Linked DNA regions of Mus musculus. The protein of the gene in region 1 interacts with the protein of each later gene in a biochemical or structural test. Links are inferred from orthologs where the notes say so. Each region holds a gene or a part of one and is shown in the gene's direction. Other genes may lie near its edges.

Region 1 (6,823 bases):
TTTACTATGTTTCATCTGGGATGCTCTTAACTCCCACTGGACAGCCCCCAGGGTTGCACTTTTATGGCTCACTTAACCCATGGTGGCTTCTCCTCCCTCCTCCTGCACTCCTCTCCTCCCTGTCTCCTAGGACTCCAAGCCTGAGAAGCCTAAACTCCACTTATGTCTCTTCTGCCCAGCTATTGGCTGTTGGCATCTTTATTTACTGATCAGAAATAACTTGGGGGTAGGGTCACAAGTCTATGTACAGACTCCAAGTCTTGGGGGCCCACATTTAGCATTACAATAGAGAGCAAGATCAAACCTCAACATTGTTGTTTTTGCCTTAAATTATCTTTAAAATGTTTTTGATGAAGGGGGATCTTACATATTTACAATTTTTGGCATTCAGGCTGTTAGGCTTAAGAGTGAGCACTCAACCCCACTGACCCATCTCATAAGTCCTGTGGTAGTTTTTATATGAATGCGCATTTACCCTGATCAGGGTCCATTAAGCTTCTCAAATATATCTTATCAAAAACTCATGTTTGAATACTGCTTCCAGAAGAAATAAAAAAAAGATGACATTCTTTAGCATATTACCCCCACCCTTCATGGGCTTAGCTGTCTCCTTCATTTTCTTGAAGTTTCCTCATGCCTCTCTCCCCAGTGTGCTTCTGCCACCGCCAGCAAATGTGCCATTAGCCTCTGTGTCCTCGAGCTCCCTGCTCCTTCACTGCTCTCTTCCACCTTTGCCAATAAAATACACAAACGTGGAAGCCGTGAGTCAGCCCACATTCAAATGATCTTTGAAGCACTTCCTGACCCTGCCTGAGTCTGAGGTAGTCTGAATTTTCCTATGACAGCATAGATCACACTGAGTCCATTTATCTGTCTCTTCCTTGGCAGAGAGAGGGGACAATGAATACAAAGTATGTCTCTTTTATATCTTTACAGCTCTATTTTTGAGGCCCAATAAAGTGCCTGGCACATAGTAAATACCTTTACTTGTTTTTTAGTATTTTATTTAAATATCTACATTAAATATTTTAAATACAGGTGTCTTGCCTGCATATATGTCTATGGGCCAATGAGGCCAGAAGATGGTGTTGGATTCCCTGAAGTTACAGGAGGCTGTGAGTGTCCACATTGGTGCTGGAAAAGAAGCCAGGTCCTTTGGAAGCGTGACCAGTGCTCTTAACTGCTGAGCCCTGCTGAGCCATTCTCTGTCTCCCGTGTACTTGTTTCTTAAATTACTTATTTCTTCATTGATCAAATAATTATGTGGTCTGTGGGCATCCAGGGTTTTTGATCCTAAGACTATTTGAAAATCCTTAGTTTCCCATCTTGAAATAGATGTCTGATTCCTTGGCATTAATGTTTTTTCTTCCAGGTTCTAGGTACTCTATTAAGGGAAACTGAGGCAAATTACCTGTAAACCTTCTGGAGAGCCAGTACTGTGTTTTCTCACACCACCATACATGCATACCTGGTCATTTAGAAAGGGTGTAAGACTTAGCTGAGCACAACATACCCATACCATGTTTCAAGGTGCCGTATGTTGTAATTTGATAGTGAGAAACTTGAATCGGCTAATACATACATTGAACAGTTCTGAACTCTCTCTACTTATCTTTTGAATATATATTTATGGAATCTGGATGTTTGAAGAACTATAGATTTTCAGATGAACAAATTGCAGTACAATGATCCAACAATGCTGTTAATGCTGAACTTGGGTTGGAATTAAATGTAACTAACCGAACAAAGAAATTACAGAATTCTGTTAATGGTCACGCTCCCTACAGTTTTATAACCTAATTGTTAAAACACTAAGAACAAGTAGATTTTTAGTACCTTGGGTAATTCTCTTGAAGGAGGCAAAGGAAGGGGGTATTTATGATTTGCAGAAGAAATCTAAACAACCAAGGAGACTGCCATGTCAAGAGGAAGTTAGATTTCACTGGGCACTTGGAAGTGGTTGGGGGTGGGGTGAAGCAGGAGGGACTGGCTGTGGGCAGGAACCCAATGGCACCAAAGACACAAGACCAGCCTTGTTTAGTCAACTACAGTCCAGAACCTTCAGGCTTAGTGAATGGGTGACTATGGCAACAGTCCCCGCCCCAACCCCCTTGCGCGTGCACAGCGCAGAGCCAGCAGTAGGCTCCTCCACAACAGATACTTTTTTTTTTCTCTCTCGGTAAAGAGAACTACAGTTCCCAAGAGCCCTCTCGGCACCGCCTCGCGATGTGGCCCTGCCCCTTACCCTTATGCCCCGCCCTCCCGCTAGTCCCGGTCCCTCCTTCCCAGTGTGTGTCAGTGACCCAAAGGCGGTTCGAGGCGGAGGGACCGTCGGGGGCGCCGCCGCCGCCTTCTCCAGCGCCAGCAACAGCAGCAGCAGCGGCAGCGACAACAGCAGCAGCGGCAGCAGCGGCCGTGCGGCGCCACCGGATCTGCCTGCAGCCCGGGGAGCTCACCACAAAGCGGGCCCGAGCCTCCCTCTCTAGTCCGCGCTCGGCTCTGCGTTCCACTCGGCCTCGCGGGGCTCGGCGGCTGGCGGGAAGGCGGCGGGCTCCGCTGGTGCCTGCGTTCAACCGGTGCTCGCGCCGCCCCCGCGCCCCGGGTGTCCGTGCGGCGGGCCGAGCTGGCGTTCCGGCCACCAGCAGTCGTCCGGTGAGTGCGGCGCGGGCGGCGAACGGGGGCGCGAGGGCCGGCGGCGCGGAACTTCCTCCGAGCCTTTGCCGGTGGCGGCGCGGCGGCCTGCGCGCCCGCCCGCCCGCGGGGAGGCGGCGGGGAGCAGAGTTTGCGGCGCCGCATCCCGCGCGGAGGGAGGAAGCGCCTTTGTGAGGAGCTGCCCGGAACGCCCTCCCCCACGGCTGGAGCGGGTGCGCGGCGGAGGGGAGCCCCAGCTCGGCGGCCCGGTTCTCGCTCCCGCGGCCAGGCTGCAGGCCGGCGAAGTGGAAGGGGAACAAAGGGGCGGTGGGCTTTTCTTTTGTTTGTGTGAATCTGATAACTTCTCAGCTTCCTTACGTAACACAGAATTCCAAGTTAGTCATTCTTTTTATTGTTATGATTATTGTCATCATCTCTGCGTGCCTCTACGTTTCCTTTCATCTTGGGAATCTCAGAGCATTTTAAAAACACTAATTAATTTCACCTCCCGGCCCTTGCCAAGCCCGTTTCCGTACGTGGGTAAACTGAGGTCCAGAAAGCCCTCAAATTGATGGATACGCTTGATGTACCGCGCTGGTGTCTGAGGCTCCGAAAGCGTTTATGAGTAATAACTCATTCTCCAAATGCCCTGTGGAAAAGTTAAAGATGCTCATTTTACTTACAGGTTAAATGAAGTCTGGAAGAAGTCTAGGTAATTGTTAGGTAGTTGAAACAATAATTCTTTTTAAATAGTATTTGAATCTTAAAACCTCAAAGGACTTTCTGAAAAATGTTCCGAGTGGTGAAGATACTGTAAGTCATCAACTCACTTCGCCATATATTATGTTTATATGTGCAGATCTCTTACAAAGTCAGACAACAATGATGAGGGAGGGGATAGTTTTTACTTAACCTACATTTAACATGTTTAGTCACTACTCACAATATGCTCGTTGGTTTTAGCCCCAGCACTCTTCCATCAACAAATATTGAGCATCTCATCCACAGGACGCTTTATTAAACCGAGAATTGAAGCTTTTGTGTATCAAAGGTTGTCTGTTTTGATTCAAAGGCTCTTTACTTTCGGGTAGTAGAGTGTTACTTTGTCTTCGTAGCAGGTGATCTTTTGTGTCAGATAGCACAATGTCTTTTCTCCACATTAACCGAGTTTGCCTAGTCGTGTGAATTTAAAGTTTTTGAATTGTGAACAGGGTGCAGTTCCTCAATTTCTTGTTTCGGTTTATGATGCATTTTCACAGGTAACAACATATTTCCCCAGAGTATTCAAATACACATACTTGAAACATTCTCCTTATTGTCTAAATATAGCATATAATTTCTTTGGGTTTCTTTCTTTCTTTTTTTTTTTTTTTTCACAGTTAACATCTGTAGTAAATACTCTGAGGGCAATTAATCTTTTAAACACTTTTGGTATCAAATGGAAGGTGTGAAAACTTTAAATCAAGTGTTATTTCTACAAGTTCTTTTCCTAAGTTGTATGAGATTTAGAACTGTAATAGCATTATTTTCATTTACACACTTAATTTAATTTTGTAATGCCCCCAGATTTTAAATCTAGTAGGTGTGTCAGAAAACGAAAGTGAGACTTTAGATATTTTTTCTTCTGTTCCCCAACCTATCCCCTTTCTGAAGTTTGTTAAGAGATCTGTTGAGCAATTTGAAAATGGAACACTTAAATGTATAGAAGATTGCTTATATGGTTATAGTGTTTCATCTGATAAATTTAAGGAATCTTAACCACCTAGGTTTTTAGTGTAAACTGGAAACCACCTTAGTTGGAGACTTGGCGGTTATTTGTGTGTTCCTTAAAATTAGCATTTAAGTAACCTTGTATTGACCTTTTCTGATAGTACTTACCAGCCAGCTCTACCAGGACCATTTGTACTTTTAAGGAACCCACTAACAACAGTGCTTTTGTCCTGTCCGATTCCAAGAGTCCAGAGGCAGAAGTTAGTGAAGTCTGGGTTTGCTGCCTTCCTGAGTTCTTTAGGATGCTTTAAAACAAATGGCTGAACATTACAGGGCAGGAAACAGAGCTATTGAGGCAGTTTTCAGAGGGAAGCCTCAGAGGGTTCCTATTTGCCTTAGTTTCTGCTTCTGTTTTACTTGTCAAAATGTCAGTTAAGTCCCTTGATTTAGAATGTGCTCCACTGTGGTTGCCCAGTAGATAGGTGTAAAGGGCTATAGAATTCTGCTTTGTGAACAGTTTTTCTGTTCACAGAGAAATGTAAAGCAGATTGAAAAACCCATTGATAGGCTCAAAAGTAATAGATAAGGCAACTGACAAAGACTTTAGGAAGTATAATATTAAATATTCCTGGAAACATTTATAAATAAGGAACAAAATTCTAGTTGAAGTCCCAGACAATAAATTACACATAGCACGGTCTTTCAATTTATAGATTTGTAGCCGTCTTTCTCAGAGCCCTTCTTCATATGTCATAGAAAAGTCTATATAAGATACTCTTTCAAATGACTCGGGCTGTTCTAGAGTTTCTTACTACACTCTAGAGTTTCTTTTTACACGTCATTGTTAGAGTCTCACCTCTGCTAGGGAAAGCTCACCTAGGCCTACACTAATTTGTAGGATCTTAAAACAAGAAATACAGGTCACTCAGAGATCTGGATATGATTTCAAGTTATCTATTAGTGTTTTCTATGCTGTTTTAATAGATACGTGCTTGGAAATACTGGCTAACATGCTATACTTAGTAAATTCTAAGTCATCTTTGTTCTTGTGCAAGGAATGTGTGCTAAGGAGAAGCATGAGATCTCCTGGGGGGAGTTTACAGGTTTGGTTTGGTTTGGTTTGAGAGGTTGTTTTTGTTTTCAGATCAGATTTTGCCTTGTAGTATTTCCCACCCTAGCCTTGAAATGAAGGTCCTCCTCCCTAGCCTCCCCAGCAGTGCTCCATGCCTGGAAGATTGGAATCTTTTGATGCAGTAGGTAGCCACTTTCAGAAATAATTTAGAGAAAAGGGGCTCCATTGACTGACTGAGGAGAAATGAATTGCACGTGATTCTCAAAACATTTTTCTCCCAAGAATGTTACATGGGATATTTTAGATGATGGAGATCATCAAAGATGATGATGGTGATGATGGTGGTGGTGGTGGTGGTGGTGATTTTGTCACAGTAAATGTCACTTCAGACAGAGTTTTGCGTTTTACTTATTTTCGTGTGTGAGCAAGATACATGTTTGTTACCCACCTACAGAAGCTTTTTCTTACAGATAGATTCCAGAGAACAGTTGTGGGAGTTGGTTCTCCTCTTCCACTGTGTGGGTCTAGGGATTGAATTCAGGTCATCAGGCTTGGCCGAGGCTCGTGTACCTTTACTCTTGTATCTTGTAATATTACACTTCAAAATACCATTTACAGAAGAATAGAATGTTACTAATGCTTAAATGTGAAAGTTCTAATTCAGCACACGTGCTATTTAGTTCCCTTTCAAAGCATTTGTTCTTGCTTTTAGTTTATAATGAACCTCTTGCGATGGGAGTAACTGTAAAAATATGTAGTTTTCCATGATTTTCTACTTTTTTTTTTGCCACAATTTGCTCTATCCCACCCAGCTTTCTAGAATAAGCAAAGAAATATTTAAAGACACTTAAACACTCTTACTTATTATACTAAATGTCAGCTGAATTTCAACATACAAAGTATGGTCAACTCTGTTTTGGAAATAGAAGTATACTTCTGAGGGCATTAAAGCAAGAAATATCAAATAAATACCATGATATGTTCTAAATTCTGATTGCTTAGTAGTGGCTACTGTTACCCTGAGTTTAGAAAACTGGGGTTCTAGGTTTCATTTACTGCTATTAGAATTAGATACCAAAACCAAACTATTTCTTCAGTAAATATTGGGTTTAGGGAAGGGTCTAGTTGTTGACATATCACACTAAGTGCTCACAGTTACCTCACATTCCAATCACAAGAGTCAAACAAGAAAATGAATGAGCACACTGAGTAGTTGCTAGCATCTTTGAGGCCCAGGTTCAAACCCCAGCACCACCACAATTAAAAATTTTAAAGTATTTCACATTTTAAGAGGGAATAACCAGGCATATTTCAAACATATACTGCAAAAAGTAAGAGTAATAAGAAACTGTTAAGTTTTAAAATTGCCGTAAGAGGGATAGCAACCAAATATATGGACTTGAGTTGAAT
Region 2 (7,081 bases), on another chromosome or scaffold:
GGCTCAGTTAATTCAGTTTGTGAATTCCACATCCTTTTGATGTCACAGGCAAACTGACCCAGCGATGTGTGAGTTTTCTCATCTAAAAGTGAACGTAATAAATCAACACTTTCTTCTTCACATTTAGAAGTCACACTGTTGACACTGTTTTCTTTCTCGGAGTCAGACTGATGGCTCCGGTCACCATCCGAGCACCCGGGCAAGTCAGCAGCTCCTTCACTATTTTTATGTTCTAAGGATACATTCTGAATATTTAACTTTGGCTTCTTGACAGAATTGCTCGGTTCAGATTGTATTTTACTAATTTCATAGAGAGATCCATCGGTGGCCTTACTGACTAACTGTCCCTGTTCATCGATCTCGATAACAATGAAGTCACTGGGTGAGGTTTTTATGCTGCCCTGAAAGCCCACGTGATCGTTGATGAAACACAAGGAGTTAAACCTGATGCCACCATCTGTGTCCTCTGCCATCCTTCACGGTGCCTACAAGAGAGACCGCACACTCAGCTACCAGAAACGCTTGCAGATAAGAAGAATCAAAGCGGTCTCCAAGATCCACTCAGTTCTCTCCCTCTCAAGTCTATGCTCCCTAGAAGACACTAACTTATTTTATGGTTCGACTTGCCTACAGCAAGCAGAGTTGACAGGCCAATTTTGTGACCTAAGTAGCAATTTGTATCTTGATTTCCCATTCACTCCAAGCTCCTATTATCCAGAATTAAGATGGGTCAATTTGGGGTTGGAGAAATGTTGCCTTAGCAGAGGACCACAAGTTCAGTTCCCCAGCACCCACATGGCAGCTCACAAGCATCCCTAACTCCATGTCCTGGCATCTATTGTCCCTTTCTGACCTCCACCACCCACCAGCCCCCAGGCACACCCATGGTGCTCATTGATACATATACACAAAGCACGTATGATAAAATAAATAAGCCTACTAAAAATGTTTAAACTTGTCAGGAGGCGCACACTTTTAGTGCCAGCCCTTGGGAAGCATAAGCAGGTGGATCTTTGTGAGTTCGAGGCCAGCCTGGTCTACAAAGCAAGTTCCAGGACAGCCATGGCTACACATAGAAATACTGTCTCAAAAAGAAACAAAATGCACAGCTACACAGAGAAATCCTGTGTCAAAAACCTGTCTCAAAAGCCGGGGCGTGGTGGCGCACGCCTTTAATCCCAGCACTCAGGAGGCAGAGGCAGGCAGATTTCTGAGTTCAAGGCCAGCCTGGTCTACAGAGTGAGTTCCAGGACAGCCAGGGCTACACAAAGAAACCCTGTCTCGAAAAAAACAAAACAAACAAAAACAAAAAACAACAACAAAAAAAACCGTCTCAAAAACAGACAAAATGTTTATATTTGCCAGGTGGTGTGATATACACCTTTAATTCCATCTCTCAGGAAGCAGAGTTCAAGGGCAGCCTGGTCTACAGACCAGGGGATAGCCAGAAGCCAGGGCTATACAGAGAAACCCTGTCCTGGAAAAACAAACAAACAAAAGTTAAAAAAAAAACAAAAACATAAAATGGGTCAATTTCAAGTTTATCTGAAAAATAGTATCATTAGACCTACAAAGAAGGGAGAAGAAAATAGGACTGTTGTTACAATGATTGTCATCCTCAGAACCTCAAAATCTCCTGGAGCAAACTTCAGAGACTGTGGTAGTGTTTTTATACATTGGAAATTAGATCACGAAGAAGGATAAGAAAGGAAAGTCTATAATAAATAGTTACGTGAACTTCTCTGTACACTTCAAGGTCGGATAAGTCAGTCCTGGTCCCTCATCTTGTTCTAAATTCTCTACAGGAAAGATACAAACATCTCAAGCTAATGAAAGGGAATTTCTACCAAGTCACTGGCATAGAAGAAAAGAAAGTCTCATGGTGTTTTCTTGGAGCAGCGGCCCAAGGCCAATTCTATAGGGAATGAATCACAGTCCTCACACAATCTACTCTCTCCACGACACACGGAGCCCTGAGAGAGCAGCTTCACTGCCTAGCTCTTGTATTTCCCAGACTTTACAAGTAATTGATCATCTACATCCTCAGACATTTTCACCCACCAATAATCTAATCTATAGGATTCATCTATAAGCTTTAGGAACCTGTTTTCTTTTCTTTCACACACACACAAAGAAAAAAACTGATTTAATTTCCTGTATAGCATGACTAGCTAATGTGTTCATTATTTACTGTCCATCTTCTTCAACTTAAAGTGTCAGTTCCACATGAGCCAGAATTCTGACTAGCCCATATTCAGAACAGCACCAAGGACATAGTAGGTCTGCAGTAGATACTAGTTGAACAGATACAAGTAGAACACAGTAAGAGCGTTAATGGTGACAAGAAAGAAAGAAGTGTTAACTTTTGTCTATGATAATCAGGAATGGTATATAATAAACTGCTACTTGACTTTGGAAATAGTTCAAGAGACAGAAGCGGGGTAGAAATACCACGTGCAAGTACAATCAAGACGGGCACTGGGGGGGGGGGGGGGAAGGGGGAAGCCCTGACACAGAGCAGAGGGGATAGGGAGAATACAGCTGAAGTAATGCTGACAAGGAAAGATAGTGAACACCCTGTCAAAGGTTGGCATCTGCCCCCGTGGAGTTGTTTCTAATGGCAGATGGAAATCAGCAGTCAGCTCTGACCAAGTCCACAGGGGTCCTCGGAACCCTAGGGATTGTTGGAAAAGAAAGACCATAGGACGGCTTTCCAGGCTACACGTGGGGACAGTGCAGCACGAAGGCATGGCAGTCAAGCAGCTAGTCAAGAGGCGGGCAGACAGGGCACGTGGGGGCGAGGGTGGCAAGAGCTCCTCCTCCGCTCCGCGGGGCGAGCCGAGGCTGCAGAGGGACTCCCACCCCAACCCCACCCCGCTCCCTGGGCGCCGCCACCACGCCTCCCTCCCCGGTCCAGCAGTCTTGGATCCACCGGTGACCCGGCATCCTAATAGACTCTGTGAGCTCTACCTCGCTTCCGTGAGAAAGTGGTCCGCCGAGTGACACAGTGCGCATGCCCAGAAGCCTTTCCGCCGCCTAGCCTCTTACAGGGACATTTAAAGGGACAGGCTCCGGTTGGTGTAGCTCTTCCCTGGGTGGAGCTCGGGGAGGGAAAGGCGTGGCCTTCCGGATTGGCTCCGCCCCTATACTCTCACCCTTAGCTGACCTGCCCTCCCTGTCCCACAGGGGGATATGATGCCCCGGTGACCCGCAGCATCCCGATCGCAGGCAGTCTGAAGTCGCCTGGTGGTCCTGCGTCCTCCACCCCCGAGTCCTCGCCGGACCGTGGCGGGACGCCGATCGCCTTGTCCAGGAAGCGAGGGACGTCCGAGAGGAAGTAGGTTGTATGAGGAAGGCTGATCTCAAGCCACGATCTCTCCGCTGTCCTCTGTCCCGGGCCGGGTTGGTGATCAGTCGCTTCGCTCCAGAACCAGGAAATGGGCGCACTCGGGCAGAGGAGGCTTGGGGAGCCCCGCAGCCTCTGTGCGCTGCTCTGCCGCCGGAGTGTCTCGCTTGCTCGCTATGGGGAGCATAGGAAGCTAGCTGTAGTCAGACAGTCCAACAGGTAGAGGGAGAGGTAAGCGCAAGACAGATTGGAAGCAAGAGAGGGGCAGGAAAAGCATTCCCAAGAGAGCAAGAAAGCACCATTAGCTTTCGGAATGGACACAGTGGCCCCAAAGCAGGAAATTTAAAAAAAAAAAAAAATCGATTTTTCCGTTTCTGGGAGTAATTCTTCAAGATGTATGCCAAAGAGCTCAGGGTTTTTTTTTTTAATTCTCCTATTTTCATGCTAAACATTTTTGCTTCCTACATGTTTCAAGACTGATCTGATCACTCCGGCCAAACTTGGGCCTCCCAGTCTTGTCTTTGTTGTGTTCCCTGTTCAAACAGAAACAAACAAAAAACAAACAAACAAAACAACTTAGGAGATGAATTCGCACTCTACAGTAGCACAGACTTCTGTTGACTGCACTGCAGACAACAACGGACTGAACCGCTGAGCCTGTAAGCCAGCCCCAATTGAATGCTGTCCTTTATAAGAATTGCCTTGGTCATGGTGTCTCTTCACAGCAATGGAAACCCTAACTGAGACAAGTCACCAACTGGGAACCAAGTACTCAAATGAGGGACGATGGAATCCCCTCCTGTTCAAACCACCGCAGGCAGCGTTTAACAGACTGCCAAATGCATTCTCAGCTTGCTACCTTCTTCCATCATTAGAATAAAACTCCCCTGTGTTCTTGCCTCCCTTTTCTCCCTATTCTTCCTAACGTTTTATTTTTCAGGCACCTGGATTAATATCTGTCACAGATAGGACATGTCTTGGTGAATGGATGACATTATACATTTTAGTATACCCAAAGCGTTTTAGTGGCCACTGAAGTATGTCAGTGTTTAGAAATTGTGGACATCTCTCGGCATCTCAAAGGTCTTTTGGCAGATGCATCAGGAACAAACGGGGCTGCTGTAGGGTGAGAGGCATTGGGACAGCTAGTGTAGAACATGGTTGTTTGGGTATGGGGGAAGTTCAGACTGCGTAAAAGTATAAGGAAGAAGTGACCAGGGGGAGGGGCCAGAGTGGGAAGAAACCAAAAATTCTTATATAGGAGGAAGCTTGCTGGGCTTTTTGTTTTTGTGGGGTTTTTTTGTTTTTTTTTTTTGTTTTGTTTTTTGTACTTTGTTGTTATTGTTGTTGTTTGTTTTACTTTGCATTTTTTTTTTTTTGGTCTGTTCCCTGTGTCTTTGGGCCCCATCTCAATCCACAAGCATTGTTCACAGAGGAGAGGGCACAAAGGTCACCCCTAGCAGTCAGGTCTAGTCTTTCAGAGCACTGTAGCAGCCAAGGAATTGAGCTGGTCCCGAAAGGTGTTAAGCGGCTTTGACGTGTAAGTTTTTCTGAGCTCTGATGGGACAGAGAGGTTAACGGACACAGAGATGGCGTCAGCCCAGCTGCTTTAGTTCTGAGTCCTGGAAACAAGGTCTAGAAAGGTAAAGAGGGTTGGGCTGGATGGCCCATTGGTCTCCCCAAGAGGTCAGAGGTCATCCAGCTGATGATCCATTGGTCTCCCCCAGAGGTCAGAGGTCATCCAAGCTGATGGATGGCCCAATGGTCTTCCCCCGAAGTCATCTAGGCTGCTCTCCAGTGCTTAGGGTTTCACTGATTCAACTGCTTCAAGGTGACAAAATGAGCGATGTAGAAGGGACCTTAGGGTGCCTCAAAGGATGATCTATCCCAGGAGCCACAATAAAGCATAGCAGATAGAAGAGATCCAGAGCATAAGTCAGGAGGTGATAACTGTACAGCCTTGAGGGGAGCATTAGGAGGCAGGGAGCACACAGTGGGACCAATCTGCTCACCTCATGCTATGGAGAGAGGGGTAGAGAGAAAGAGGGAAGGAAGAAGGGATGAGAGGGAGAACAGGGTCACATCCTTCAAGGCATACCCCTAATCAGCCTTTCCATCTAGGTGGGTCTCACCTCCTAAAGTTACCACTGATTCCCAATACCCCATGAAGTTAAGACTCCATCCATGGATGAATACATTGGTAGATAACAGGAAAGCCTTCATGATCCAAACATGACGTCTTCTCCCCCGTCTCCGCCCCCAACACTACTATAATAGTGACAAAGCCTTCCAAAGAAGAGCTTTAGGGAGATGTTTCACATCCAAACCATACCATACAACACCAGTATCTACAATGTATAAGTCACATTAATGAATAAAATGAGTTTGGTCCTTAACTTGCGGAGCTTAAAGTCTAATGGCAGAGAAGGGTGGTAAACAAGCAACTAATCACATGACTACAAATACATTGTATAGTGGTGAATGGTTATTAGGTTGGGGAAAGTCAGCCTATTTAGGTGTGACAGTCAATGAAGGCCAGAGAGACATGAGTCCTAGCATAGAAGCCTGCATGCAAACATTCTTTTTCCTGCCTTATAGCTTTTATATGCTGTGCCATTTGGGTATATGACTCACGTACCCAAGATTAATTGTATTTTAGAAAATGAAAATGTATAGAAAGAAACCATTGAAAGAGTAATACGAGTCTAGTCCTCTTGATTAACAGTTGGAAGGAAAGATTATTGTCTGCTGAGGCTAAGGGACAGAGAAAGTGCCGAGAGAGGTATAAACATGGGAAATGGTCACCTAAGACCAGGAGAGAGAAGTCAAAGGTTAAGTGGGTCCCAGAGGCCCAGTGGAAGGGCGTGTTCCCATCAGTCTGGGCAGTACACAGTACAAGGAGCACGGGGAGGTGACTCTTAGCTGCAACTCTCCAGAGTGGAATAACAGGAACCAGGAGGATCGAGCGAATAAAGGTACTATCAAGGGGGTAGCCACAGTGAGAGGCCACTGACTGCCTTACAGTTAACAGTAAATCATGCAGGTCTCACAGGCTCAAACCAGTTCTTCTCGTATGCTTCATAAAAAGTAGGTGGGCAGGACATGTCTTTTAATGCTATATAAATTAGCTTGGGTTTTTTTGTTGTTGTTGTTGTTTATTTATTTGTTTGTTTTTACTTTTACCAAAGATTGCTGAGTAAAAATCTTTACTAGTAGGTGCTCCAGAGACGCCTCGGTGGTTAACCACTCTTGGTAGTGAGCAGAGGATCCAGGTTCAGTTCCCAGCACCCACATAGTGGCTCAAAATCATAAACTCTAGCTCCAGAAGATCTGGGGCCCCCCTTTGCCTCTACAGGCACCAGACAGGCACACAGTGCACGGACACACATGCATACAAAATACTCATACATATAAAATGAAATAAATACACCGTTAAAAACATTTTCATAGTAAATGAGTACTGATCGAGAGAAATAAATTCAAAGGTAGGTCTCTTGTTAATTTAATAGATTTGACTCCTGAACACGCTCCCAGGTCTCTTTCCAACAGGCTCGTTGCATTTTATAAATTTCACTTGGAAAAATATCCCAGTGTCAGGATGAAAGTTTTCCAATGTCTGTTTGTGGGGAGGAAAAGGAGAATCCTGGAGGGTGCTTAGATGCCTTTCAGTAGGAGGTGGGTCGGAGTGAAAGCTGCTCTGTGATGAGATGGTCGGATGCTGCATCTCATACAGTA

What was found. The genes of interacting proteins can lie anywhere in the genome.
Region 2: of the proteins of Peli1 (region 1) and Irak4, one has a biochemical effect on the other in vitro, tested with the Homo sapiens proteins (4 studies listed by BioGRID and IntAct). The link is inferred for Mus musculus from reciprocal best matches to the Homo sapiens genes PELI1 and IRAK4.

What each region holds. Positions count from the first base shown.
Region 1 is NC_000077.6:21,089,027-21,095,849, forward strand, and holds the start of Peli1 (E3 ubiquitin-protein ligase pellino homolog 1), read left to right. Parts: upstream 1-2,297; 5' UTR 2,298-2,652; intron 2,653-6,823. UniProt on the Homo sapiens protein: E3 ubiquitin ligase catalyzing the covalent attachment of ubiquitin moieties onto substrate proteins. Involved in the TLR and IL-1 signaling pathways via interaction with the complex containing IRAK kinases and TRAF6.
Region 2 is NC_000081.6:94,540,490-94,547,570, forward strand, and holds the start of Irak4 (interleukin-1 receptor-associated kinase 4), read left to right. Parts: upstream 1-3,170; 5' UTR 3,171-3,337; intron 3,338-7,081. Other genes in the region: Pus7l (pseudouridylate synthase 7 homolog-like protein), read right to left, coding at 1-473.